Callithrix jacchus: one gene and its partners. The protein of the gene in region 4 interacts with the protein of the main gene of each other region in a pairwise test. Links are inferred from orthologs where the notes say so. Each region holds a gene or a part of one and is shown on either strand. Other genes may lie near its edges. The genes, in order: MYG1, COQ8A, SENP2, AGTRAP, HSCB, BPIFA2 and MIEF1.

Region 1 (3,987 bases), on a different chromosome or scaffold from region 4:
AGGAAGGTGTAGATTGCAGTGAGCCGAGATCACCCCATTGCACTCCAGCCTGGCAACGAAGTGAGACTCTGTCTCCCCCCAAAAAAGCTCCCCTCTGTTAAAATCAGAATTCAGAACCAGTGTTCTAAAGGTAAAAATCTTTCCACATTATAGTCTTCTGATTATGTGTGAAAGGTAAAAATCTTTCCACATTATAGTCTTCTGATTATGTGTGACTCATTTAGTGTTTGTTTTTATATCTGCGGTTAGCATCTTTTTTTTCAAGACGGAGTCTTGTTCTCACCATAGACCCTAAATTTGTGTTAGTGACCTCACAGTGGATCACTGAGTTTTATTAATGCCGGGTGCGGTGGCCTATGCCTGTAATCCCAGTACTTTGGGAGGCCAGTGCGGGTGGATCACCTGAGGTCAGGAGTTCAAGACCAGTTTGGCCACCATGGTGAAACTTGGTCTCTACTAAAAATCAAAAATTAGCTGGGCGTGGTGGTACATGCCTGTAATCCCAGGTGTTTGGGAGGATGAGGCAGGAGAATTGCTTGAACCTGGGAGGCAGAGGTTGCAGTGAGCCAAGATCATGCCACTGCACTCCAGCCTGGGTGACAACAGTGAGATTCCATCTCAAAAAAAAAAAAAAAAAAGTTCTATTAATAAACTGCAGTTAGTTGTTCTCCTGTCCTTAAACTTGCCTGTCACTTCTTAACTCTAGATTCTCCTTTTTGCTTGTCACCAAGATCTGACTCATCTTTTTTTCTACAGCTGTCATGGAAATGATGAGCCAGAAGATTCAGCAGCTCACAGCCCTGGGGGCAGCTCAGGCTACTGCTAAGGCCTGAGAGTTTTTACAGAAATGGGGAGGGACACCCTTTGGGCATGGCTTCCTGGTGCTGGAAAGGGAAGGGTCTTGTGTTTAATGCCAATAAATGTGCCAGCTGGGTAGAATGTTGGTCTTTTCTTGGATTAAGCAAGGGATTGGTGATGAGATTGCGGGGGTGGCCGAGAGTGTGGGCCTCGCCCCAGAGCCTGATGCACAGGGGTGATGCGGTTCTCTTCTTGGAGGCTCCACCGCAGGGCCCTTTGACCAGCTGGAGGAAATCCTATGCTGGGACTGTGCTGCTCACGCTGCAGAGCTGGTTGCCAAGGGAACGGTCGCTAGGCGGAAGTGGAGGTGCACCGGTACTTCCTTTTCCGGGTCGGCGCTCCCGCCTCCCTGCGGGGAGGATCTGATGGGCCACCGCTTCCTACGCGGCCTCTATACGCTGCTGCTGCTGCCGCCGCCACCCTTCTATAGCCGGCACAAGTTCGGCCCAGAGTCCGTCCCGCCCTCGAAGCGACCCTGCAGCAAACTCATGGCACCGCCCCGAATTGGGACGCACAATGGCACCTTCCACTGCGACGAGGCACTGGCATGCGCACTGCTTCGCCTGCTGCCAGAGTACCGGGTATGGTCCGCAAAAGTGACCCTGAGACTGCGTGCATGCATTGCCTCCAGGGTGGACGGCGTTCCGCTATCAGGGTCTCTCCGGTAGCGTCCAGCAGCCCAAGCACCCTTCCTACCTGCCCTGCATCCCTGAAGTCCAGCATTAATCCCCTACCCGGCAACCCCTGGCAGCCCCTTCACCCATTATGTACCTCACAGGATGCAGAGATTGTGCGGACCCGGGATCCCGAAAAACTCGCTTCCTGTGACATCGTGGTGGACGTGGGGGGCGAGTACGACCCTGAGAGACACCGATATGACCATCACCAGAGGTAGGTTCCCAGATATCATTTATTTAACTTCCTTGATCTCAACTTTCCTCTGCTCCAATTGAGCCATCCTTGGTCCGTGTCAGGGAAAAGAACTGCCTCATCTTTGAAGTCAACTCCCGCTAGGATATACCATCCTTCTTTCCGGCTGTCTGCTCTTCACCCATCTCCCTGGCCTGGGACCTTCCTTGGTTCCAAGAAGTCCCTCGAGCCCCTTCCTTATCTCATCTCCTTCCTTAGCCAAGGTTTTGGGGGTTTTTTTCCCCACCAGCGACTTCGTCCCAGCTAGATAAAGCCATCTGTTTTTATTAGTCCATTCTGGTGCCCTTGCTGCTGCACCTAACTGCTGGGCCCACATGATTGTGGCAGTTGATGACAGTTCAAATGTGTGAAGTTTTCTACTTTATTTACACCCTTCCAAAGGGAAATCCTTGCTCAAGGGTAGTCCATTCCAATCCTTTTCTTCCCCCTCAAGCCTCTACAGCATCAAACTCAATGTCCCTGCCTCTTCTTAAAAGAAATTACCAGGTCTTCTTTAGATTTATGATGTAGATGCCATCACACACACACACAAAAAAAAAAGAAATTAAGCATTTCCTCCCACCCCAAACTATCCTCAGCTCCCTCCTACCAATTCAGGGAAGTTTGTTCCCTTCTATCGGAGATTAATCCTCTGCCCTGTTTCCAGTCTATTACTTTGTCCTCTGGGATTTTTTTTTTTGAGACAGAGTCTTGCTTTGTTGCCCAGACTGGAGTGCAGTGGTGTGATCTCAGTTAACTGCAATCTCCACCTCCGAGGTTCAAGCGATTCTCCTGCCTCAGCCTCCTGAGTAGCTGGGACTACAGGCACGTGCCACGTAATTTTTGTATTTTTAGTAGAGATGGAGTTTCACCATATTGGCCAGGCTGGTCTCAAACTCCTGGCCTTGTGATTCACGGCCTTGGCCTCCCAAAGTGTTAGGATTATAGGCGTGAGCCACTGCCAGCCTATCCTTTGGGATTTCATGTCACAGTTCCACCAGTGTCTTTGCCTCGCCTTCCCTACAGCCTAAAACCCTTCTCAAGTATCTTCCATCTTTAAGAGAAATAAAGATATAAAAACAAAACCCTCCCTCAATTATACCATACCATGAAAAGTAATTATCTTGGAGAGAGGGATTTATGATGTTTTGAGTCTCTCTTTTTTTTTTTTTTTTTTATAGCATACATATTATTATAAACAATGTCAGGAGGAAACCCTCCCAATATTTACAGCCTAAGCTCTCACACTCACTCCTCAGCTGCCCTTCAAAAATCAGCTGACCATGGCTTCACCTCTTCCTTTCCAGTTCATTCCCCTTGAGCCCACTCCCAGTCTCCACTGGAACTGCTCAACAGAAGGGCACCAGTGACCTCAGCACCAAACCAGGGAGCTGGCACAAAAGGTCTCAATTGATCTCTTTAGCACTTGGCATTATTGACCACCTCCTTTTATCAAATTGTTTTGTTTATATACACTTAAAAATTATACATTTGAAACAAAGAATATAACGTTTCTAAAATATCGAACATAAAATGAAAGTCTCCCTGCCTAAGAAACTAGAACATAGCCAGTACCTTTGCATCTATACCTGTGTGCTTCTCTCCATCCTGTCCCACACCGGCCCCCAGAAGTGAGCAGTGTCCTAATTTGTGTTCTTCATACGCTTGTCCTTCTGTATAGTTTAGCAAATGTCTATTTGCATGAACAGTATGCTTAGTTTTGCTTCTTTCTGAACTTTTATGGGGGGGTTAACTATCATTTGTGTCATACCTGTGAATATTTTATATATTCTTTTGTATTTACTCAGTTTTTTGTTTTATTATTTTTAAGACAGAGTCTCATCTGTCACCCAAGCTGGAGTACAGTGGTGCAATCTCAGCTCACTGCAACCTCTGCCTCCCAGGGTTCAAGTAATTCTCCTACCTCTGCCTCCCGAGTAGTTGGGACTACAGCTGCCCACCGTCATGCCTGGCTAATTTTTGTATTAGAGACAGGGTTTCACTATGTTGGCCAGGCTGGTCTCAAACTCCTGACCTCAGGTGATCCACCCGCCTCAGCCTCCCAAAGTGTTAGGATTACAGGCGTGAGCCACCATGCCTTGCCTCAGTTAGTTAGTTTTAGTTTTTTTGAGATGAAGTTTCACTCTTGTTGCCCAGGCTGGAGTGCCGTGGTGCAATCTCAGCTCACTTCAACCTCCACTTCCCAGGTTCAAGCGATTC
Region 2 (4,095 bases), on a different chromosome or scaffold from region 4:
GAACTCTGTTATTCCATGGGCTGTCATGTGGGTTACTAGGCTGGGAATGCTTGGAGGAAGCAGGCAGTATAAGGCAACAGTTACCAGGAAGGAAGCAACGGCCACCCTTGAAAGGCCTGGAGGCTTGGTCTGTTTCTCCTGAGTGGGAAAAGGGAGCCAGCTGACCTAATCAAGACAAGTTGTGAACTGTTCTGCGGCAGTTACTTGAAACTTGAGTCAAAATAACTCCTTAATTCTCCTTTAAAATGGACTTTGTATTTAGTGTGGTGAAGATGGGGGAGGGCATGTCAATGTCTGTGCAGAGAGGAGCACCCACCAGCTGACCAGTGCCCAGCCACAGCCGCTACAAGGCACAGTCTCCATTCTCCTTGGAAGAAAGCCCTCCCATACCCCTAGGAAGAATAGAGCCTGACACAGAGCTGTGTTCACCCACATCACACACACTTGCAATTCTGTTCTTGGGGACTCAGGCAGACCTCTGGGAAGCCAAGCCCCAAGTGGTCAATGGGGAACTGTGAAGTTAGGTTCGCTTCTGGATATCATGATAATAAAGCAGCCCTAACTTTAGGCATCAACCTAGAACAGCTAACTTTAAATTTTTCCAAGTGATAATATAAAACAAACGACTTTCAATAAAGTTAAATGTCAATACTGTGAAACAAAAAGTATCTGTATCAGTTTAGAAATTTATGTTGTGAAGGTCAAGGACTCGCGCCCAGGAGACAGGTCTGTGTCTTTCTCCAAAGATGATTTTGAGGGCTTCAGTATTTAAAGGGGAAGAGCAGTATGGAGGGGAAAGATGGAAGGTGTGGTCACATTACTGAATCCACGTGTTGTGATAAAATGAGCAGGTAGGGAAACAGCCAATTATGTATTTGTCCAGTGCTCAGTAAATCGGCACTTTACACAAGATAAGGTGAACATAAAATGGAGATACTTTAATCTGTAGCTACCTGCTTAGGAACATTGCTTGCATGACTCAGCTTTCAGCTTAATTTTTTTCCTTTTGGCATAGTGAATTTTCGTTTCACAATACCAAAAAAAAAAAAAAAAAAAAAAAGTTGGCGGGGGAGGGGGGAGGCTCAGAATAAGGAACAATCCTTTGGCTTGAATATTTCATTTTATGAAAAACTTACTAAATTTTTCTCACTTTTCCACAAGAACAACTAACATAGCTGCAGACCAGTGTTTAGGGGTCACTTGAGTGGAAACTGTCGGGCCGACCTTGGCTCATACGTTCCTTTTCTCGTTAGGGAGGGAGTGACGGGGCAAATCTGCGTGCTGCTGGTGACGGTGCCTCCCAGGGCTGCTCCGGGGCCGCCGACGGCTGGACCTGAGCTCCGTCCCTTGTTGGCTGCGCGCCCCCGAAAACCCCGGGGGTCAGCGACTGCGGGCACCTGCAGGCCGACGAGACCGGCAGGCGGACAGCGACTCAGGTGAGCGCCCTGTCTATCCTTGGGGCGCAGCTGGCAGAGGCTTCCTGTTTTGAGGATGGCGCCACACAAAACAAGCATCATTAACCCGAAGGGCCGGGACGCTGGAGGCGGAAGTGCGATCGGCCTTGCTCGCCGCGCTTCCACTCCTCAGAGTGCTTTTTGTGGACACTGGGAAAGGGGCTCTTGCTACAGAGTGGAGCAAAGAGCAGCCCTCGCCCGGTCCTTAAAGCAGCGGCACCCTCCACGCCCACAGAAGCGTCTGCTCGGCCCACAGCCTGCCCTCCCAGGCCCACGCGGAGGTCCAGCAAGCACCAGTACGGAGGCAACAGGCACACGCGTGGCCTTTTCGGCCGCGCACGCCGCTTCACAGTATAAAAGGCACCCGTTCTTAGGGCGCATGCGCGCAGGCCACCAACTCCAAAGCCAGGCCTCCTGCCAGGATTTGCTAACTAGCGGGAAAGGTAGCTGGGAGGTAGGGAAGAGGAGAAAGGGAAGAGACCCGTGGGCTAAGACAGCTTCCCACTGGCTTCTCTTGCTCCGCCCTCAATGGCGATTGGCTACAGACCGGGAGCACGGGCCGAGCACGCTCCCACGTGCCGAGCGGCGTTCAGCAGGCGGACCGTGGCGCCGCCAATGGGAGCGCCCTGCGGGGCGGGGCTTGGGCGCTGGGCCTCCCCGGGCGCCAGCCAGTTGGTAAATAGATCCGGAGCGCGTGGTGGGCGTCAGCGTGGCTGCAGTCGCGCAAAGGCGGCTGGAAGGTGACCGCGGAACCCAGCTTCCTGCAGCCGGGTAAGGCTGCCACCCGCCGGCCCGCCGCGTGCAGGAGCGCCGTCTGGCTGCGGCCAGAGCCAGGCTTAACACCCACCTGAGCCCTTCTTGCATTCTCTTCATGTGACAGCACGGCTTCCCCTGGCGAGTTTCGCGGGCCGCGAGCTTCAGGTCGGACGCAGTGGGCGCCCCGCAGGTGCAGGGTGGGTCCTCTGCAGCTGTCTCCCGTCCCTGTGTCCACCTCAGCCCCTCGATCCTGCTTCGGTGAGAAGACGAGGGCCGCGTGCAGAACCTTGGGTCCCTGGAACACGCCCGCTGCCTGCCCGACCGCCTTCCCGCTGCTAATCACCCGCTGCCCGTGCCCTTTGGTCGCCAGTACAGCTTTCCTGCCTCGCTTTCTAATGTTGTTCTAACTCCCAGACCCTCTTGCACTGTGTGTGGGTCTTGCGGCTCTAACTGCCCCTGGCTGCAGGTTTGGGTCCGAATTTGACTACCTTGACTGGAGCCAGCTGTTGGGCTTCACAGGTGGGAATTTTGGGTGGACTTGGGACAGGGGGGTCCTTTTTGATCCTTTTTTCCTTTTGCTTTTCTTTGGCTTTTTCTACTTCTCCAAACGCTGGGAGTCTTGTGAGTGGTTTGGGCTTACTCCCCTAAACTCCAGCCTTTCCAAGGCTCATTCCTACCCATTGCACAGAGGTAACAGCCCCTCTGCCAAACCCACCTTGGGCGATGGGGAATGTTGCAGGGGCAGGTTTGGGTATTGGGACTCCCCATCTGGGTGCAAGATGTCAGCTTTCTGGAGGGTAAGAGGCTTGTGTACAGTCTTCCAGCCTGAGTTGGGCCTGCAGCCTGTTGAAAAACTTGTGCACGTTCACTTGGGCCTTGGATCTATCTACGTGACATGACTGGGTAGCTCGTAATGCCAGGTCTACCTGATTGCCAAAGAATTTGAACATGCATTGATGCCAGCCTGCCAGTTGTCACGCTGTGGATGGGTGGGTTTCCCTGGCAGGAGGGCTCTTCGGAGACTCTTCTTTCAGAGGAAAGCCTTTCACCTGAGGAGAGACAAAAGGGGAGCTACAGGAGCAGCATTTTTAAGACTCAGGTGCTGGGCGCTGTGGCTCACGCCTGCAATCCCTGCACTTTGGGAGGCCGAGGTGGGTGGATCATCTTAGGTCAAGAGTTGGAGACTAGCCTGGCCAAAATGGCAAAACCCCATCTCTACTAAAAAAATACAAAAATTAGCCGGATGTGGTGGTGGGCGCCTATAATCCCAGCTACTCCAGAGGCTGAGATGGGAGAATCGCTTGAACCTGGGAGGTGGAGGTTGCAATGAGCCAAGATGCGCCAATGCACTCCTCCCGGGGCAACAGAGCAAGATTCAATGTTAAAAAACCCAAACAAGCAAACAACTCAGGCGATGACTTTGAGTGTTTTGCTCAGCCTTGCAAATAGTGCGGACTATGCAGAATCGTCATGATTTGGGGCCTAATGTTGAGCGATTCAAAGGAAAAGTAAACTGGGTGATCTGGGCGCCTCCCTCAGAGCCAGTGTGTTATCTAAGACAAAGTTTTTCAGCCTGTGGACTAATGACGTTTTGGACCCATAATTCTGTCGTGGGGGGGCCTGGCCTATGCATTGTAGGATGTGCAGCAGTATCCCTGGCTTCTGTGTTTTAGACTAGCACCACTCCCCGCCCCTTCTAGCCGTTGCAACCATGAAAATGTTTCCAGACACTGCCACATGTCCCCTGGAGGGCAACATCTTCCTTGGTTGAGAACCACTGAGGTAAGACTCTAAAAAGAGTTTTCCTATGCTGCCAGTGGCCCCTCTGGGACCTGCCCGTGAGTAGGTGAGAGGTTTAGGCAAAGGGTTGTGTTGTGCCTACTGC
Region 3 (4,090 bases), on a different chromosome or scaffold from region 4:
CACCTCGGCCTCCCAAAGTGCTGGGATTAAGGCAGGAGCCACCTCTCCCGACCTATAGTAGGCAATTAACTAGAAGTACGACTTTGGGATTGTAGAGGGAGGGTAATGAGACTCATTCCTTACCAGCCCAGGGTAGGAGACATTAATGGCCGGCAGGTTTCACCCTTAAATTTCTGTGAAGCCTTTCTTGACATCTGCCCTTTCCTTCTCTCCTTCAGTGTGTGCTTTTCCTTTCTCTGGCTCCCACTGCACTCTGCACATACCTTTATCACAGTAACCACTTATGCTGTATTGTAATTTGTAATTATCTATGTACACGTCTCCAAGTAGACTGACCTTAAGGGCTTGTACTCAGCCCCCGGGTTCAAGTTCCAGCTACGTCTCTAGTTAGTTTTGTGATCTTAGGCAAATAACTTAATCGCTCTATGCCCCAATTTCCTTGACTTATAAAGTTGGCATAAAACTCTCTGTCATATGCGGTTGCTGGGCGACATTAAGGTGACAATGCGTGTAAAGTACGAGGCAAAAGGTAAGTACAAAATAAACGGCTCTTGGCCGGGCGCGGTGGCTCAAGCCTGTAGTCCTAGCACTTTGGGAGGCCGAGGTGGGTGGATCACGAGGTCAACAGATCGAGACCATCCTGGTCAACATGGTGAAACCCCGTCTCTACTAAAAATACAACAAATTAGCTGGGCACGGTGGCGCGTGCCTGTAATCCCAGCTACTCAGGAGGCTGAGGCAGGAGAATTGCCTGAACCCAGGAGGCGGAGGTTGCGGTGCGCGGAGATCGCGCCATTGAACTCCAGCCTGGGTAACAAGAGCGAAACTCCGTCTCAAAAAAAATTTTTTTAAAAAATAAAAAAAATAAATGGCTCCTAAAACGGTAAACATGTGTTAATTAACCTGATCCACCTTTACGTGTGCAAACACTTGAGCACCAAATGTCCTCTGGAACCCCGGAACGCCTTCTCCTCGGTGGAGCAGCCTCACGTGTGGCCTGTGGGCCTTGTCCCACGGGCCGGCTCGGAATTGGCTCCGCCGAAGAGAAAACTCTGCCCACAGCCCTTCCGATCTCGTCAGCGATTGGGCCGGGGCCGTCCCACACTTATTCTTGTTGCTGGGCTCGGAAATAGGGGGCGCTGCCAGGTTGCGCGTGCGCAGATTGAGAATGAAGTTTTCCGGTTGGGCGGGAGGAGGTAACGTCAGGAGCGGTGGCGGGCGGGGGCCTCGGGTAGCCCTGGGGACGCTCTATCTGTGGGCCCTTAAATCGCGTCACAAATCAGCGACCGAACTCCGGCTGTGGTGGCTGAGACGGCGAAGGCGGCAGCGGCGGCGACAGCTCTGGGGTTTGCGTCTCGGGGTGTGTCGGCCGCCGCTGCTGCTCGGGCCTGGTATGTACAGATGGCTGGTTAGGATTCTCGGCACCATTTTCCGTTTCTGCGACAAGTCGGTGCCCCCTGCCCGGGCCCTCCTGAAGAGGCGGCGCTCAAACAGGTGAGACCAGAGGGGGCTGAGCAGCGGCCTGGCCCTCCCCCCTCCCCCACAGCGGCCTCCTCGGCGGCTGAGATGCTTTGATTCAGCCAGGCTCACCTGAGGCGGGTCACCGGGGTCCGAGTGACGTAGCCGCCCCCGCCACGCCGTGGGGAGGCAGCTCCTGGTCGTCTTCGGAGCGGCAGATGATGGCAGGGTCGTTGACGTTCTTGTCAGAGGCCACGCTGGTTGCCGATAACTAATGGGGCTTTGCCGCGCTAGGCTGAACACCAACATTGAAGGAATACTGCCTTTGTTGTGGCTCACTGCTCACAAAGCAGCCTCCCAAGTGTCATCTGCGGTCATTAAGTGCATTTAAAGGAAGTGAGAGTCATACATTGCCCAAAGCCGTTTTGACTGCAACCACTGTCCTTGAAGCGAGAAACAGCAGCTGTTTTGTTCTGAAACAGCTGTCAAACAGTCTGTGTTTGGGGCCAGAAGGGTTTTGTGTTTTAGAATTAGTGAATGAGAAAAAAGGGCTACGTGCCTTATTACTTTAAAACAGTCACTAGTCTGTCCTCTTAAATTAAGTTAAAATTTGGGGGAAACTCAAAGCAGTTTTCTTTTTCTTTTCTTTTTTTTTTTTTTTGGTTGAGACGGAGTCTTGCTCTGTCGCCAGGCTGGCGTGCAGTGGCGCGATCTCGGCTCACTGCAACCCCCGCCTCCTAGGTTCAAATGATTCTCCTGCCTCAGCCTCCTGAGTAGCTGGGATTACAGGCGTGTGCCACCACGCCTGGCTAATTTTTGTATTTTTGGTAGAGATGGGTTTCACCACCTTGCCCAGGCTGGTCTTGAACTCCTGACCTAAAGTGATTTGTCCACCCCAGCCTCTCAAAGTGCTGGGACTGCAGGCATGAGCCGCCGTGCCCCGCCCCAAAAGCTGTTCTTATTTAGCATCTGCTCTTTGGAGCGTCCCATTTTATCGAATCGACTGACCTCCTTGCCTAGAAATTAATCTAGAAAATAACATACAAATTCTGCCCCCTCCCCAAGTTCAGTGATCAAGTGTTAATTTCATTTTTTAAAAATTAAGCCTCAATATCAAGAAAAGTGAAAGAAGTGGTGATTTGTGGAAGCTTGCGAGGACAAGATGTCTAATACGTTAGTCTGAGAATGCAGGTTATTAATGAAATTGGTTGTTGCTTAAACTGCATCTCTGGAATACATTGCCTTATTTTTCTCTCCTATCTTTCTGTGGTGTTGATGTAAGGTTCATTTGAGAACTTGTTGTAAAGTGCTTAAACTGATGCTCAATGTATATAAGGGTAGTGTTTGTTTATTCTACCCCGGGGTCTTTTGCAGACTCTGGTGCATGATAAGCACTAGGTACATATTTATCAAATAACAGAAAGTTAATTCCCTTTCCCTTGTCCTCTTTTTGATGTGAGTCCCTTCTAGTCTGGGGAACATGGTTTGGAGATCAAAACCTTGATTTTTACTACATGTTAAGTGTGTTCACATCCTTAATCCAATTTTCAGTGTAAACCAATTTTCAGTCAAAATGAAACCAGGAGGCTTGTTGGAATGTATAAAGGTATGAGCTGAGTGGAATCCTGGGATCTCATTCTTCTCATTTTGTGTGTGTGTGTGTATGTGTGTGAATATAATAGATGATAGGTGTTCAGAGAGACGATGAGTAATATGCTGTGAGCCTTTAACATTCTTGACATCTGGATCCTGAAACTTTCCTCAATTCCGAAGTTCTTTATTACCACCATAATGCAATGTAGTTTGCATGATAAAAGTTATTAAACACCTTTTTCTGATTCAGATTTCTCTCTTTTAAGTTGTAGAACAGGTTTTTTTTGTTGTTGTTTGTTTGTTTTTTGAGACGGAGTTTCATTCTTGTTGCCTAGGATGGAGTGCAATGGCGTGATCTAGGCTCACTGCAGCCTCTGCCTCCCAGGTTCAAGCAATTCTCCTGTTTCAGCTTCCCGAGTAGCTGGGATTACAGGTGCCCACCACTATGCCTGGCTAATTTTTGGTATTTTTAGTACAGATGGGGGTGGGGTGGCATGGGGGGGGCGTGTTTCACTACATTGGCCAGGCTGGTCTTGAACTTCCGATCTCAGGTGATCCACCTGCCTAGGCCTCCCAAAGTGCTGGGATTACAGGCGTGAGCCACTGTGCCTGGCCTTGTAGAACAGTTTTTTTTTTTTTTTTTTTAACTCCCTTACACACACAAAAGAAAAAACAAAAATTAAAAAAAAATATCTTTTAAGGCTGTTCATGTTAATACTGTCACCTAAAGTAAAAGATGGCTTTCTAGGCTGGGCGCGGTGGCTCACGGCTATAATCCCAGCGCTTTGAGAGGCCGAGGCGGGTGGATCACACGGTCAAGAGATCGAGACCATCCTGGTCAACAAGGTGAAACCCCGTCTCTACTAAAGCAAAAATTAGCTGGGCATGGTGGTGCACGCCTATAGTCCCAGCTACTCAGGAGGCTGAGGCAGGGGAATTGCTTGAACCCAGAAGGCAGAGGTTTCGGAGAGCCGAGATTGTGCCATTGTACTCCAGTCTGGGTAACAACAGCGAAACTCCGTCTCAAAAAAAAAAAAAA
Region 4 (2,537 bases):
TCAGCAGAATGTCTTGAGGTCTCCCCATTCACTTTTCTTTCCCATCATGTCCCCTGCCACCCAGGTTTCCTTGGATCTTCTCAGGACCGTAGTGCCTACCAGACGATTGATTCACCAGAGGCACCCGCAGATCCCTTTGCAGTCCCAGAGGGCAGGGGTCAAGATGCCCGAGGGTACTGAAGCCAGCCACGCTGCCTCCAGCCCCACCCCAGGTTCTAGGGATGCTCCTGACCTCTATCTCTGGGACCTAAGATGGAATGTGTCTCCAGCCCACGGGTTACCTGAACCAAGTGCCTTGAGAGACCAGGAGCCCCCATGGGCCACCCAGTACACACACTCCTGTCTCAAACTCCCTGAGGCCTCCCTCCCTTCAGGGCACCCGCTGGTTCCCGGGTTGGAATGAAAATCTTTCTTCACCTCCTACTCCATCAAGGCACCACACAGGCCCCCAGCTGAGTCCTGCATGACTGTGGCAGGCTCAGGCCTTTAAGTCCTGGTGATGTCTGTTTGTTGGGCTTTGGGGGAAGCCCTAGAGCTTCAGGTCTGCTCAGCCCAGGAGCAGTCTGGCATGGGAGTGAGGTCCTGTGCTTCTCACTGCCTGGTCATGTGGTGCCTAGCGATACAGGGCTGGAGGCCAGAGGCATCAGCAACACTGACCCACCACAGCCTCCAGCCTCCCTTTTTGGAGCCACAGCATTAAAGTTTGGGGAGTTCTGTAGATGGGCTGTGTTTTGAGCCACTTTCAGTCTCCTGGCTGGGGTGGGGCCTGGCCTTGTTCCTGGGAAGATTTCTCCTGCCAATTCCCAGGTGGAGCCTGCGCTGGGCCACCCCATTCTGTTGTGGCAGGAGGAAATGGGCATGTTTGTTGGCTGAGCTGGGCTTCTGCCTGACTCTGGCCTAGCAGAGGCCACAGCAGAGAGACACTGCTGGGTGTGGTGCGTGGCATCCATTTCTCTGAACCAGATGACCCAAGCACTGGTTTGAATCCTGCTCTGCCACTTACTAGTTGCGTGCCTTCAGTGTCTTCTAGAAAGGGTGGGTGCCTGCTCCAGGTGTAAAGTGTCTGGTGTGAGGAGGGCTCCCTAAGTGATGGCGAAGTTGTTAGTGGACTTGCTCCTCACACCAGTGATGATGCTGGGTTAGGCAGCAGAGGGGGAACTCTTCCTGGCAGCCCCTGTGTCTGGTCACAGCTGACTTGGGCTGACTCATCCAGAAGCTCCCCAGGGCCCAGGCCTTCCCCACTGACAGGTCTGGCTCTCCACAGCTTGCTCTTCTGCCCCCTGGGCGCCAAGTGCCAGGGCTTTCCCAGGCCATCCTGGCTTGTCCCTGGCACAGGGTCAAGGCCTAGTGCACAGCCCCCATCATTCACTTGTGTCCATCTGTCAATCAAGAGACTCAGTACCTGCCTGGTGCTGAGTGGGCTGGGGGCTGCAGTGGTGACCTTTGGAGCCTGCTCTCTCGACCTAGGAGTCTTCCCACCTGGAGGATGACAGACAGGGGCAAGAGCCCCAAAAGACGGGGACATGGGCCTCTGGGCCAGGAAGGAAGACTGCTGTGGGGAAGGGGCTGTGCTCCGGGGGCTGCCGAGCAGCAGCAGTTGTGAGAAATTGGAAACAGCCACGCTGTCAGGAGACAGACCAGTAACCCACAGTCCATTCATTACAGGGAGCACAGACCAGTAAGCCACAGTCCATTCATTATAGGGAATGTGGACCAGTAAGCCACGGTCCATTTACTGTAGGGAATATGGACCAGTAAGCCAAGGTCCACTGTAAGCCACAGTCCATTCACTATAGGGAGCACAGACCAGTAAGCCACGGTCCATTCATCATATGGAGGACAGTGCAGTAAGCCACGGTCTGTTTATCCTATGGAACCCGGTGCAGCAGTTACAGCAGATAAACCAGACCTATTCCTACCAACGATGGTCCCCAAAAATATGAACAAAGCAGATTGCACAATGGCATTGGGATGAATTTTCAGACCTCACAGTTTGGTGTGTGTTGTTCCTGGGTGTATGTGCAGTAAAATAGAAAAGCAGGGACTAGAAGGACACCTGTCAAGTTTATGACTGAAGCCATCCTGGGTGGAGGGGGGAGTGTGGCCTGAGGGGAGTGGGACTAAGACCCAAGTCCATTTCTCTTGTGTACACGGCTTCCTGGCCCCAGGAAGTCTTGTTAAGTGCCTGCATCGTGAACATGTCGGATTCCCGAAGGGAATGAGAAGCCAGGGCAGGGGCTTGGCCCAGGCAATGGGGAGCAGATGATGGAGCCTCGACCACCCAGAGGGGAGAGTGTATCTAGAGGCCTCGGTTTCTCATCGTCCCAGATCCCCAGGTTGAACTGGCTCTTTGGGGGAGAGGACAGAGGAAAGCTCCTGTCTTGGGGGTGCCCCAAAAGCAGAGCCTGTGATGAAAGCAAGGGAGCTGGGTTTTCCAGTCATTGACCAGGAGCCACTCAGGGAGTGGGAGAGGCTGACTTAGATTTGCAGGCACCATGACCCCTGACCATGCAGACAGTTGGGACCCCGAGAGCCAT
Region 5 (4,000 bases), on a different chromosome or scaffold from region 4:
TTGGGAGGCCGAGGCAGGAGGGTCACCTGAGGTCGGGAGTTTAAGATCAGCCTGACCAACGTGGAGAAACCCTGTCTCTACTAAAAATACAAAATTAGCTGGGCGTGGTGGCAAATGCTTGTAATCCCAGCTACTAGGGAGGCTGAGGCGGGAGAATCGCTTGAACCCAGGAGAAACTGGTTACGGTGAGCCAAGATTGCGCCCTTGCACTCCAGCCTGGGCAACAAGAGCAAAACTCTGTCTCAAATTAAAAAAAAAAAAGAAAAAAAAAAGAAAAGAATATGTGTTTATCATCACTGAATTGTATACTTTAAAATGGTACAAATGGTAAATCATATATGTATGTTTTATATCACAAATAAGTAATTTAAAAAAAAAATCCAGAGGACTTACAAGTGAAACACCATCTTTTTTTCACCTAGAAAACCTGAGTCCGAAGGAGGACTAATGTCCTCCTGCCCACTCCTGGCCACCCCATCCCATATACTTAGGGACACTTGCAGAACATCCTCCTACACACCTCAGTGCGTTTCCAGTTCCTGCAGCGCCCAGTAGCTAAGACTGGTCTCTCTGTAAGTATTTTAGATATTGAACCTAAAGAACGGAAATGATTACAAACATCTGTAGAACTTTTTACAAAGTAACTTCGTTCTGATATTGAAGAACACAACTCTGTTCCTTCTTATCCTGTATGTTCAGGCCTGTTTCAGCTTGTAAGTAACACGGGAAGTGAATTTCACCTCGAGGATGATCTACTAAAAAGGAAGAGAGTCGCCCACACACTCCCCCTTCAGCTCAAAAATACAAACAAAGCGAAGCTCAGGAGACTCCCCTCGCACAAAACGCTGAGGATGGGATTCGAACCACCTAACACCCAACAGAAGGTCCCCATATGACTCACCGCGTGAGCCCACCTGGAGCCGCACACTCTCCGCAGCCTCAGCCAGCTGAGTGGCGCTAAACCTGCAGATACAAACTCCACCCTCAGCCAATCAAAACGCCCTCCCCTGCCGCCGGACCAATGAGAAGCAGCAGATGTAGCCGTCAGGCGTCGCCTCAATGCTTCCTGGGAGTTGTAGTTTAGAAGGCAGAGCGGAACTCAGAACCCAGATTCCCCTCGGTTGTTCCCGCCCCCTCGACTCCCCGACCAATCAGCAGCATTAGTCTGGTTGGCCGCTCTCTCTGCTTTTCCCCACTAGTGACCGCGGCTAGATAGGCCGCCGGCAAGATGTGGCGGCGGAGAGCTGGGGCTTTGCTCCGGGTGTGGGGGTTTTGGCCGCCCGGGGTTCCCGGAAGGAGACCGCTAAGCTGCGATCCTGCGTCGCAGGCGGGAGGCAATTCGCCCCTCTGTTGGAATTGCGGCAGCCCAGGGGGCCCGGGGCGGGAGAACGGGTTCTTCTGCCCACAGTGCCGAGCGCTGCAGGCACCTGACCCCACTCGAGACTACTTCAGCCTCATGGACTGGTACGAGCGACGGTTTCGGAAAAACCTGCCGGAGCGAGAGAGACGTCGGGGGCTGGCCTGCGAGAGGGAAGGGCGGATCTGGCTGGCGGAAGAGAAGGCGGAACTAATAGGGGGGCGGAGGTCTGGAGAGCAGGCGTTAGAGAGGTGTCTGGATTTCTCAGGAGGAAATTGAGAGGCGGGGACTGAGGGATGCAGCGTTGAGGTGTGGAGAAGGGAGAGGAACTGGACTGGAGCGGCGGGCATTGAAGTTAGAGAAAATGGGGGGCCGAGGCTACAGTGGAGGGAGATTTGAGGGGCGGTACCGACGAGAAAGGTTAGGAGAAGTCGAGGGGCGGAGTTTGAGGAAAGGGCGCTTGAGGGCCAGGGCCTGGGAGACTGGATGACTTGAATGATAGTGTCTGGAAGGTTTAAAGTTGGGTTGATGTTTTTAAGAAAGGACTGCAGAAGGCCGGGCGCGGTAGCTCGCGCCTGTAATCCCAGCACTTTGGGAGGCTAAGACGGGCGGATCACCTGAGATCAGGAGTTCAAGATCATCCTGGTCAATATGGTGAAACCCGGTCTCTACTAAAAATAGAAAAAAGTAGCTGGGTGTGGTAGTGCGCTCCTGTAATCCCAGCTACTTGCGAGGCTGAGGCAGGAGAATGGTTTGAACCCGGGAGGCAAAGACTGGAGCGAGCTGAGATGGCGCTACTGCGCTCCACCCTGGCAACAGAGTGAGACTCCATCTCAAAAAAAGAAAAAAAGGACTGCAGTAGTGTGGTCCAAGATTGGGGAGTAAAGCATGAAAAGCTTAATATTGTGGGCGAGGCCTAAGGGAAAAGTGAGAATTGGAGGGAGAGGGTCCAATACATGGGGTTTTTTCCCCTGAGGGTGAGGATCTTGGAGAGATGGGGCAGTGTGGACACAGCTGAACTGGTAAGGAAATAGGACAGATTTTGGGAGTAGAAAGTGAAAGGGGTTAGATTAAAGTAAACTGGGAGACAGGGATAAAGGGACCTGAACTGTGGAAAGATAGGGAGATAGGGTGGTATTTAAAAAAAAAAAAAAAAAAAGGCCGGGGGCGGCGGCTCACGCCTGTAATCCTACCACTTTGGGAGGCCGCGGTGGGTGGATCACCTGAGGTCAGGAGTTCAAGACCAGCCTGGCCATCAAGGTGAAACCCCATCTTAATAAAAAAAATTAAAAATAAATAAAAATTATTCAGTAGCACTATTCGAGCACCAAAGGAAGCCTTTTTTCAAGACCATTTGTAGAGGGACCACTGCAATAGGGTCTTGCAGTGGGGGAGAGAGATTGGTCTCAACTCCAAAAACAGCATGCCCAGGAGGGAATTTGTAGCCAAGGAGCAGAGTAAGTGGGATTCTGACTAAACCAACCTAACAGGACTCTTGCTAAAGACAGGCCAGGGTGCTCAGACACTTCCTGGAGGATGGTAGGGGATGAAGAATCTAATCAGAGATCTAGGGTGATAAAATATAAGGATTGAGGATTGTAGCTAAACTGTTAGCAAGGTTCTTTGCCAAAACTGGATTATACAAGAAAGCACACAGCAGGGCCTAGGAGAAGGTTGGAAATCTGACTAAAGTTTGGCCAAGCAAAGAATCTTTGTGTAATTTAGGAATGTCCCTTTCCCTTAACTATGGAATCTGCCCCCACCAGTCACTGAACATGTATTAGCAGCTGCAATAACACTAAGTTCCTCAGCATCCCCATCTTGCTCTCACCTCAAGGTCCTTGCTCTTGGAATTCTACCTGGATGACTCTTTGTTCTGATCTTTGATTACTGATCATCATTCCAATTTCAGCGTAATGCCATGTCTTTGTTCACTACATCTGCTACCCTCTTTGACTCTGTTCTGTATCCCTTCATAGCACCTACTACTTTTTTTTTTTTTTAAGACAGTTTCGCTGTTGTTACCCAGACTGGAGTGCAATGGCACGATCTCGGCTCACCGCAACCTCTGTCTCCTGGGTTCAAGCAATTCTCCTGCCTTAGCCTCCCGAGTAGTTGGAATTACAGGCGCGCACCACCATGCCCAGCTAATTTTTGTATTTTTAGTAGAGACAGGGTTTCACCATGTTGACCAGGATGGTCTCGATCTCTTGACTTCATGACCCACCTGTCTCGGCCTCCCAAAGTGCTGGGATAATAGGCGTGAGCCACGGCTCCCGGCCTGGTAAACAAATCTTTAAATATTTGTCACATAAATTTAATCTCTCAATTTCCTTCCAGCAACTGTTCCTTCAGAGTTGATACTGTGAAGCTCCAGCACAGGTACCAGCAACTGCAGCGTCTTGTCCACCCAGATTTCTTCAGCCAGAGGTCTCAGGTAGCTTATTGGCCAACCCCAATAATCCCCAAATATGTGTGCATACCAGGGGGAAGTGGTCTTGTGACTATGTGTTTATCAGGGACGGAGCTGGAAAATCAGCTGTATCTGCCCATGGCAGTCTGACCCCAGCCTGCCAGACCCAGAGCTCTCATTCACTCACAGCTTTTGTCTGACTTCCCAGATAACTTAAAACCTATAGGCTG
Region 6 (4,094 bases), on a different chromosome or scaffold from region 4:
ATGGGTCCTCCTGCCAGGACATTCTCCAGTTCATTCATTCTCAGCCTTCTCCCCAGTCCCCACCCACAAGGACCACCGGCTTGGCAGCTGCAGGCTCCATGAGGACCTGCTCTTAGTCTTGGCAGAAAGCCCTCTCCATAACCATCCATTTAAATTCAAGCATCCTGGTTGACCTTTGGGTTGGAAATCTCTCTCTGCTCATCCTGGAGAGGGGTTAGTTTCCTTGGAGTATCCTTGGATGGTCCCGGAACCAAGGCTTGTTTCTGTGGGCAGTCTTCCATCCCATCACCACCATATAAGGGCCACCAATGTTCAGCAGAGTCCCGGCAGACTGCGCAGCGGGGAAAGGATCTCGTGAGCATCCTCCTCTAAACCCGTGAGTGCCATGCTTCCCCCAGTGGTGTCCCACATGGTGGTTTTCAGAAGGCTTTGGGGGCTAGAGGCAGAGGGGCGGGTTGCTTGGGTTAGCTAATATTTTGAGTACGGCAGAGATAATCAATATAGCTCTAAATTTGCTCTAAACAACAAATTAGTGATGAGTACTCACTGAAGATTCCATTTCCCTCTGGGCAATTCTCACTACTATTCCTCCCATGACTGTCCAGATGTCAAGATAAATAGCAAATCAGAGCAAATTTAGATATCTATAGATTGTATTAAAATAAGTGTCAAACTGATGAGCAGTGCAGAGTCATGAGGTGGTTGCCATTGGTTTGTTCAATATTTGTTTACTGTACTGTACTAGGTGCAGGCTTTTACTGGGGCCTGAGGATTTGACAGTGAAATAAGTTACAGTCCTTCCCCTAAATCCTTCCCCTTTGTCAGCCTGGTAGGAAAGGCAGACAAATCATCAGGGAAGTGTTACCCAGGACCTTGATCAGGATAATGAAGACAGCAAGGTGAGACTCCCCCAACCTAGAATCTGGGTAGGGGCCTAGAGTAGGCTTCACAGAGGGCATGATGTAGGAATTGACCAACGTGGAAAAATGAAGAAGAAAAATATTTTAGGCAGAGAAGACAGCGTGTGAAAAGGAACTTTGTATCAAGAGTATGGGCTTGGAGTCAAGTCTGACTTTTCAAATCCCAGCTCCTCTGCTCACTGGCCATGTGTCTCTGGGCAAGTTGCTGTAACATTCTGACCTTGGCTGCCCATTCGTAAAACAGGAAATAACCACATCTGTCTTAAAGGAATGTTAAATGTTAGGAGTGATTGGAACTCATTGAAGATTCCATTTCTCCCTGGGCAATTCTCACTCCTGTTCTTCTCATGACTGTCCAGGTGTCAAGACAAAAGATGCTTCAGCTTTGGAAACTTGTTCTCCTGTGCAGCCTGCTCACTGGGACCTCAGCGTCTCTTCTTGGCAATCTTGGTGATGACCTGAGCAATGTCGTGGATGAGCAGAAACCTGTTCTTGACGAAGGACTTAAGACAATTGACAATACTCTTAAAGGTAAATCAACAAGTGTGATGATCAGTGTCACCTAAATTAGCCTCCTAAACACTATGCCTGCATTACCAGAGGCTGCCACCAGGGGCTACTCTTTATGGGTGGTTTACTGAGAAAAGTGGCTATTCAATTCCTGGCTGATTCGTTTATCTTTCTAGGAACAAGCAATGCCACGTGAATATCCTTCTACATATTATATCCTGATAAACGTTTGCCAATATACACATAAGGTAAATTCCTATAAGTGGGATTTCACAAGTTCAAAAACTATGCTGTTGACAAATAATCTCCTATGTTAACACTTTCTCTGACAGTCTACAAGAGTGCCTTTTTTTCCAATCCCTTTCCAGCACTGGGTATGGACAATTTTACATGCCCTGCCAGTCTCACAGATGAAAAGTGATAACTTATTTCACTTTGCATTCCTCTAATTATAAAAGAACCCTCTCCTTTTTCATATATTTACTGTGTACTTACATATTTTAACTTGAGTATTTTGTGTATTCTTAGCATATTTTTCTTTGGGGGTTCTTTTATTCACTCGTGCTAATTCAGTGAAAATTAGGGAAATTATCCCGACCTAACCTCAGTATCTGTAAGGCTACCTACCTTTATATTTAATTATATCTCCTTTTTATGCTAACATTAAAATAACTTGGCTTTCTTTTAGTTTTGTGGAAACATTAGCAGCATATCAAAAGCAGTTTTGGTAGGAGGAGGTAACTTCTGCACATGGTGCCTTTCAAACCTTGTCAAGGACTTAGGTAACTTTCAAAGATGCAGAAAGGACTCACTCTAATTTTATAGCTGGGACACCTGAGACCCAGAGTCAGAAATGTCTAAACCAAGGTCACCCTAGTGAGCTGTACAATCAGATGTAGTTATATCACCAATTTTATTTAAAGCGTCATTCTCCCAATCATTGCAGCTAGGTAGATACTGTCCATGACAGAGCCAAGTTACAACATTATGATTACATCTCTTTCCTTATATAGTTTTTGGTTTTTCCTTAAGTTAGTAATTGCCCTGTTGTTTCTCAGTTGAATTATTTTCTCCCCATGTGTGCTTAATTCTTTTCATGGGCATCATCCTATATCGACCATGACATTTATTCTTTTTTGAAACAAGGTCTCACTCTGTCACCCAAGCTAGAGTACTCTGGGAGCCTCAACCTCCTGGGCTCAACTGATCCTCCCACCTCAGCCTCCCCAGTAGCTGGGACTATAGGTGCATACCACCACACCTGGCTAAGTTTTACATTTTTTGTAGAGATGGAGTCTCATCATTTTGCCCAGGCTGGTCTCGAACTCCTGGCCTCAAGCCATCCTCCTGTCTTGGTCTCCTGAAGTGCTGGGAGTATAGGCATGAGCCACCACACCAGGTCACAACATTTATTCTCATCCCCCTGTTCTCCAGAGACCTATCATAAGACATGTTGTCCTCCTCCTCCTATAAGAATTACTGCTTCCTTTTTTTGCAATTGCTTTTGGTGTCATGAAGTCTTTGCTCATGCCTGTGTCCTGAATGGTATTGCCTAGGTTTTCTTCTAGGATTTTTATGGTTTTGGGTTTTACATTTAAGTTTTTAAACCATCTTGGGTTAATTTTTGTATAAGGTGTAAGGAAGGGGTCCAGTTTCAGTTTTCTGCATATGGCTAGCCAGTTTTCCCAGAACCATTTAGTAAATAGGGAATCCTTTCCCCATTGCTGTTTCTGTCAGGTCTGTTGAAGATCAGATGGTTGTAGATGTGTGGTGTTACTTCTGAAGTCTCTGTTTTGTTCCATTGGCCTATATGTCTGTTTTGGTACCAGTATCATGCTGTTTTGGTTACTGTAGCCTTGTAATATAGTTTGATGTTAGGTAGCATGATGCCTCCAGCTTTGTTTTTTTTGCTTAAGATTGTCTTGCTATACGTTCTCTTTTTTGGTTCCATATGAAATTTGAAGTAGTTTTTTCTAATTCTGTGAAGAAAGTCGATGGTCGTTTGATGGGAATAGCATTGAAAGTAAAAATTACTTTAGGTAGAATTGCAACGTTCACAATATTGATTCTTCCTCTCCGTAAGCTTGGAAAATTGACAAATGGGATCTAATTAAACTGCAAAGCTTCTGCACAACCAAAGAAACTAGCATTAGAGTGAACAGGCAACCTACAGGATGGGAGAAAATGTTTGCAATCTACCCATCTGACAAAAGTCTAATATTCAGAATCTACAAGGAACTTAAATTTACAAGAAGAAAACAAACAACCCCAACAAAAAGTGGGCAAACAATATGAACAGACACTTCTCAAAAAAAAGACACTTATGCAGCCAACAAACATATGAAAAAAACTCATCATTACTGATCATTAGAGAAATGCAAATCAAAACCACAATGAGATACCATCTCATACCCGTAAGAATGGCAATTATTAAAAAGTCAGGAAACAACAGAGCTGGCAAGGCTGTGGGGAAATAGGAACGCTTTTACACTGTTGGTGGGAGTGTAAATTAGTTCAACCACTGTGGAACACAGTGTGGCGATTCCTCAGGGATCTAGAACCAGAAATGCCATTTGACCCAGCAATCTCCTTACTGGGTATGTATCCAAAGGAATATAAACCATTCTGCTATGAAGACACATGTACACATATGTTTACTGCAGT
Region 7 (3,952 bases), on a different chromosome or scaffold from region 4:
TGGCCTCTTTGCCAGCTCCTGCTCACCTGGCTTCGGAAGCACTGGCCTTCTCCCTGCTGCTCCTAGATCACACTGAGCTAGCTTAAGGGCTTATCTGGGGACAGGCCTGAAAAGCTCTTCCCTGCAAAGTTCTTCTGGTTTTTGTCCTTTTATCAGATAGCCAGATAGCCTGTAATTGCCCACCTCTCCTGGTAGATATTACTTTTGAATCCTCACCATAGCCCCAAGGCTGGGAGAAGTTAGGAAACGCGGCAGAGGGCAGCTGTCCCTAAGTGGTGGAACTGGAACTAGGACCCAGCGGTGGCCCTGGACTCCAAAGCCCCAGGCCCTGGCTTGGTTGAGCCAGGCACTGAGGGAGGCACTTGGGGGTGGGGCGTTCCATAGAGACACAGCCTCTGTACTCAAAACTAATGAGAGACAGAGAAGCAAATGGATGAATCACAGTGCCTGGCAAATGTTAGGTGCCAATAAATATGTTTTGTTGTTGAACAGATTAAGAGCCTTAAGGTGTGTAGACATTTCTGTGGGGCCTAAAGAAGGAACAAGAGTGCGAGGGAGGCAAGGAATGGGCTAGGAGAGATTTCTCAGTGGAGGGGGACATTTGAAGTAGACCTTGAAGGAAGGGTAGGAGTTTGTTAGAAGCCACTAGGCCTGGAGAGTGGAAACAGCATGGAGGGATGGAAAGAAGGCGATCTGAGAAAATGGGTTTGGAAGAGCTCTGAATATTAGTGTTATAATTCCCTCAGGTACCCCAGGGCCCCAGCTAGAGATCAACAGATGGTGCAGGAGGCTGGCCTGGCATCCCGGACAGGCTAAGGGGCCGTCAGCAGGTGAGGGCCCCTTAGCCTGTCCTATCCTCTGACTCTCTCTGCCAGCTCGGGACCTTCCCGGTACCTACAGCCGGACCCGGACCCAGGGGTCCTCTGGGGGCGGGGCACGAGTGGCCTCTGCAGGCCCGTCCCTTGTTGACGTCACACAAGGATGACACGGAGGCGGGGCTCAGGATTGGGAGGAACCATGCATAGGGGGCGGGGCCCGAGAGAGAGCGTGGAGGAGAAGACCGGAAGTCCCTCAGCCCTCGCCCGCCCTCGTGCTCCCTTCAGCCCCTTCGCAGCTCCGTACGCAAGGTCGTGTCCCGGAAGTTAAGGGGCCATGTTGATGGGTGACCCCGAGAGAGGTACCGGGCCAGAGGCGAGTCCTGCGGAGTGGTAGCGCGTGCGGCCTGCGGGTGAGTGAGAGAACGAGTGAGGACCGGCGGCGGGTGAGCGGCTGGGAGTTCGCAGCGCCTCCCCTCAGGCTGCTGCCGGCGCCCCGCATGCGGCCCAGGCCCGGGATACCGGCCTGCCGCCGGGGTCTTGCCTCATTCAGCCCTGGGCTTTCCCCTGCGAGGCCTCTCGGTAGCCCCGCCCCGCTCCAGCCTCAGAGTCCTCCCGGGTCCCCAGGCCGGTCTACCCCGGCCCGGCCCCCAGGGTCGGGGAAATGCGGACTGGCTGGAGCTCAGCCGCCCACTTGCTCAGCGACCTTGTAGTTACAGCCCTCGTCGTGACAGTCGCCTTTTACCTCATCAGACACTTGTCCTGTTGATTTCCTGCATCGGGAGGCCCTTAGGGCCGCGGGAGCTCTTATGAGGAAAAATGGACAGAGATGGTGACTTGCTGAAGCTTGCGCAGGAAGTTAGCAAGGCCGGAGGCCAAGGGCTAGCTGACTTTGGGCCCAAAGTCCAATCTTTTTTTCCAGCCAAATACCTCCGCCACTTGGTCTCATTTCTTTGTTTCTGAAACGAAGGTGATCATTTTTTCCACATAGGGATGCTGTGAATGCAATTCCCTCATTCGTTAAATATAATTTTGAGCCCTTGTATGTGCCAAGAGCTGTGCTGGGAAAGTTCGTGGAGCACCCAGAACTGGTGTACACATGGTCCGGCTCCAGCAAAGAGTAACTCATTCCACAGGCAGGCAGAGTCTAGAAGAGTGCAGCCCTCCCCTTGAGAGTTGTGGGCCCTCGGGCAAGTTGTGGGCCCTCTGAGAGATTGTTTCCTTCACCTAAAATGGGGTAATGATAACCCTAGGGTAGCTGACAGAATGAGTTGTTATATGAGACGCTTAGAACATTGCACAGTGGGCCAGGTTGGGTGGCTCAAGCCTGTAATCCCAACACTTTGGGAGGCAGAGGTGGGTGGATCACGAGGTCAAGAGATCCAGACCATCCTGGCCAATATGGTGAAACCTGGCTCTACTAAAAATAGGAAAATTAGCTGGGTGTGGTGGCAGAGGCCTGTTGTCTCAGCTACTAGGGAGATGGCTTGAACCCGGGAGGTGGAGGTTGCAATGAGCTGAGATCAAACCAGTGCACTCCAGACTTGGCGACAGAGACTCCGTCTCAAAAAAAAAAAAAAAGCATTGCACATGTATATAGTGCAATAATATGATGCAATAAGCATTAACGGTTCCTAAGAACCCTGACTACCTCCTAGATTGATAGTTTAAATGATAGTGGGCAACAAAGCACTTTACAAATAGTCTGGTGTAAGGGTTTATTGTTACTGAAGGAAGACAGTGGTAGTTTATACTTAAATGTAATATTTATTGAGCATTTACAAACCTGGCCAGGTGGTACTAATAATAGCTGCTATTGATAGTGTTTAGTGTGTGCCAAGTGCTGTTCTAAACATGTTCACATACATTAAACTCATCTAGTGCTTATGCCAACCACATGGACAAAATACGATTTTTATCCTCACTTTACAGATGAGGAACTGAGACAGGCACAGAGAGGTTAGGAGGCTTGCCCAAGATAATGCAGCTCGTAAGTGCTGGTGCTGGGATTCAAGCATGACTGAGTGCTTGTCTTCAAGCACTCTGAGACCACTCCCTCTGGTGAAGTTCTATTACTATTCTTTACATGCACAGTTCTTAAAATAACCCTAGGTTGTGGGTACTATTGCCATAATATCCTAATCTCCATTTTATAAGTGAGGAAGCTGGTGGTCATCAGGGCTTAAGTCCTTTGCACAAAGTCATATGGCAAGTAAGTGTCAGGGCCAGGATTTGAGCCCTGGTGAACCACAACCTGTATGTTCCCAGAATGGGCATTCAGAGTGGGGGTCTCTAGTCCTACCTAGCCTTGCCATTAAGTCATAGGGTGACCTAGGGGGTCTCTGGAACTTGGATTAAAAACCACTCACTACATAGTCTGTACAGGTCCTTTTGTTATTAATCCTGATACTAGGCTTGTCTGTCTTTCCTTCTGTTTATAGTGTGACACCCAGCCCCTGCCAGTCCCCCATGGCCCCGTGGAGCCGAGAGGCGGTGCTGAGTCTCTATCGGGCTCTGTTGCGCCAGGGCCGACAGCTTCGCTACACTGATCGAGACTTCTACTTTGCCTCCATCCGCCGTGAATTCCGAAAAAATCAGAAGCTAGAGGACCCTGAGGCCCGGGAGAGGCAGCTGGAGAAGGGCCTGGTCTTTCTTCACGGCAAATTGGGAAGGATAATTTAGGCTCCTCCAAAGGAAAGAGGACAAAGGTGCCTTCTGTAAACACTCCTGGTCTCTCCCATCCCCACCTCACAGATGCATTAAGAAGCTTCAGGTATGTAGACCCTCGTTCCTGTAGATTTCATTATTTTTTGTCACAAGGGACTGAGGAAAGGACCAAAGTCGTTCTTTTAGTCACTAGAAATGAGTGGAGAGCCGGGTGTGGTGGCTCATGCCTGTAATCCCAGCACTTTGGGAGGCCGAGGCGGGTGGATCACGACGGTCAAGAGATCGAGACCATCCTGGCCAACGTGGTGAAATCCTGTCTCTACTAAAAATACAAAAAATTAGCTGGGTGTGGTGGCGCGTGCCTGTAGTCCCAGCTACTTGGGAGGTTGAGGCGGGAGAATCACTTGAACCAGAGAGGCAGAGGTTGCAGTGAACTGAGATTGTACTACTGCACTCCAGTCTGGCAACAG

Evidence for each region.
Region 1: the proteins of AGTRAP (region 4) and MYG1 interact in binary tests that used the Homo sapiens proteins (3 or more experiments, as listed by UniProt). The two-hybrid records come from large-scale screens. The link is inferred for Callithrix jacchus from reciprocal best matches to the Homo sapiens genes AGTRAP and MYG1.
Region 2: the proteins of AGTRAP (region 4) and COQ8A interact in binary tests that used the Homo sapiens proteins (3 or more experiments, as listed by UniProt). The two-hybrid records come from large-scale screens. The link is inferred for Callithrix jacchus from reciprocal best matches to the Homo sapiens genes AGTRAP and COQ8A.
Region 3: the proteins of AGTRAP (region 4) and SENP2 interact in binary tests that used the Homo sapiens proteins (3 or more experiments, as listed by UniProt). The two-hybrid records come from large-scale screens. The link is inferred for Callithrix jacchus from reciprocal best matches to the Homo sapiens genes AGTRAP and SENP2.
Region 5: the proteins of AGTRAP (region 4) and HSCB interact in binary tests that used the Homo sapiens proteins (3 or more experiments, as listed by UniProt). The two-hybrid records come from large-scale screens. The link is inferred for Callithrix jacchus from reciprocal best matches to the Homo sapiens genes AGTRAP and HSCB.
Region 6: the proteins of AGTRAP (region 4) and BPIFA2 interact in binary tests that used the Homo sapiens proteins (3 or more experiments, as listed by UniProt). The two-hybrid records come from large-scale screens. The link is inferred for Callithrix jacchus from reciprocal best matches to the Homo sapiens genes AGTRAP and BPIFA2.
Region 7: the proteins of AGTRAP (region 4) and MIEF1 interact in binary tests that used the Homo sapiens proteins (3 or more experiments, as listed by UniProt). The two-hybrid records come from large-scale screens. The link is inferred for Callithrix jacchus from reciprocal best matches to the Homo sapiens genes AGTRAP and MIEF1.

What each region holds. Positions count from the first base shown.
Region 1 is NC_133510.1:66,252,564-66,256,550, reverse strand, and holds the start of MYG1 (MYG1 exonuclease), read left to right. Parts: upstream 1-1,187; 5' UTR 1,188-1,223; coding exon 1,224-1,439; coding exon of another isoform or gene 1,440-1,522; intron 1,523-1,636; coding exon 1,637-1,749; intron 1,750-3,987. Other genes in the region: PFDN5 (prefoldin subunit 5), read left to right, coding at 757-833. UniProt on the Homo sapiens protein: 3'-5' RNA exonuclease which cleaves in situ on specific transcripts in both nucleus and mitochondrion. Involved in regulating spatially segregated organellar RNA processing, acts as a coordinator of nucleo-mitochondrial crosstalk.
Region 2 is NC_133520.1:22,353,897-22,357,991, reverse strand, and holds the start of COQ8A (atypical kinase COQ8A, mitochondrial), read left to right. Parts: upstream 1-1,295; 5' UTR 1,296-1,436; intron 1,437-2,157; exon of another isoform or gene 2,158-2,729; intron 2,730-3,883; exon of another isoform or gene 3,884-3,992; intron 3,993-4,095. UniProt on the Homo sapiens protein: Atypical kinase involved in the biosynthesis of coenzyme Q, also named ubiquinone, an essential lipid-soluble electron transporter for aerobic cellular respiration.
Region 3 is NC_133516.1:14,535,832-14,539,921, forward strand, and holds the start of SENP2 (sentrin-specific protease 2), read left to right. Parts: upstream 1-1,290; 5' UTR 1,291-1,393; coding exon 1,394-1,494; intron 1,495-4,090. UniProt on the Homo sapiens protein: Protease that catalyzes two essential functions in the SUMO pathway.
Region 4 is NC_133508.1:49,636,402-49,638,938, forward strand, and holds the end of AGTRAP (type-1 angiotensin II receptor-associated protein), read left to right. Parts: intron 1-64; coding exon 65-180; 3' UTR 181-2,037; downstream 2,038-2,537. UniProt on the Homo sapiens protein: Appears to be a negative regulator of type-1 angiotensin II receptor-mediated signaling by regulating receptor internalization as well as mechanism of receptor desensitization such as phosphorylation.
Region 5 is NC_133502.1:199,430,530-199,434,529, forward strand, and holds the start of HSCB (iron-sulfur cluster co-chaperone protein HscB), read left to right. Parts: upstream 1-1,200; 5' UTR 1,201-1,228; coding exon 1,229-1,464; intron 1,465-1,634; exon of another isoform or gene 1,635-1,711; intron 1,712-3,697; coding exon 3,698-3,794; intron 3,795-4,000.
Region 6 is NC_133506.1:6,119,884-6,123,977, reverse strand, and holds the start of BPIFA2 (BPI fold-containing family A member 2), read left to right. Parts: upstream 1-1,294; coding exon 1,295-1,451; intron 1,452-4,094. UniProt on the Homo sapiens protein: Has strong antibacterial activity against P.aeruginosa.
Region 7 is NC_133502.1:190,253,263-190,257,214, forward strand, and holds the start of MIEF1 (mitochondrial dynamics protein MIEF1), read left to right. Parts: upstream 1-1,152; 5' UTR 1,153-1,228; exon of another isoform or gene 1,229-1,785; intron 1,786-3,256; 5' UTR 3,257-3,284; coding exon of another isoform or gene 3,285-3,497; 5' UTR 3,498-3,588; intron 3,589-3,952. Other genes in the region: MIURF (mitochondrial ribosome and complex I assembly factor AltMIEF1), read left to right, coding at 3,285-3,497. UniProt on the Homo sapiens protein: Mitochondrial outer membrane protein which regulates mitochondrial fission/fusion dynamics.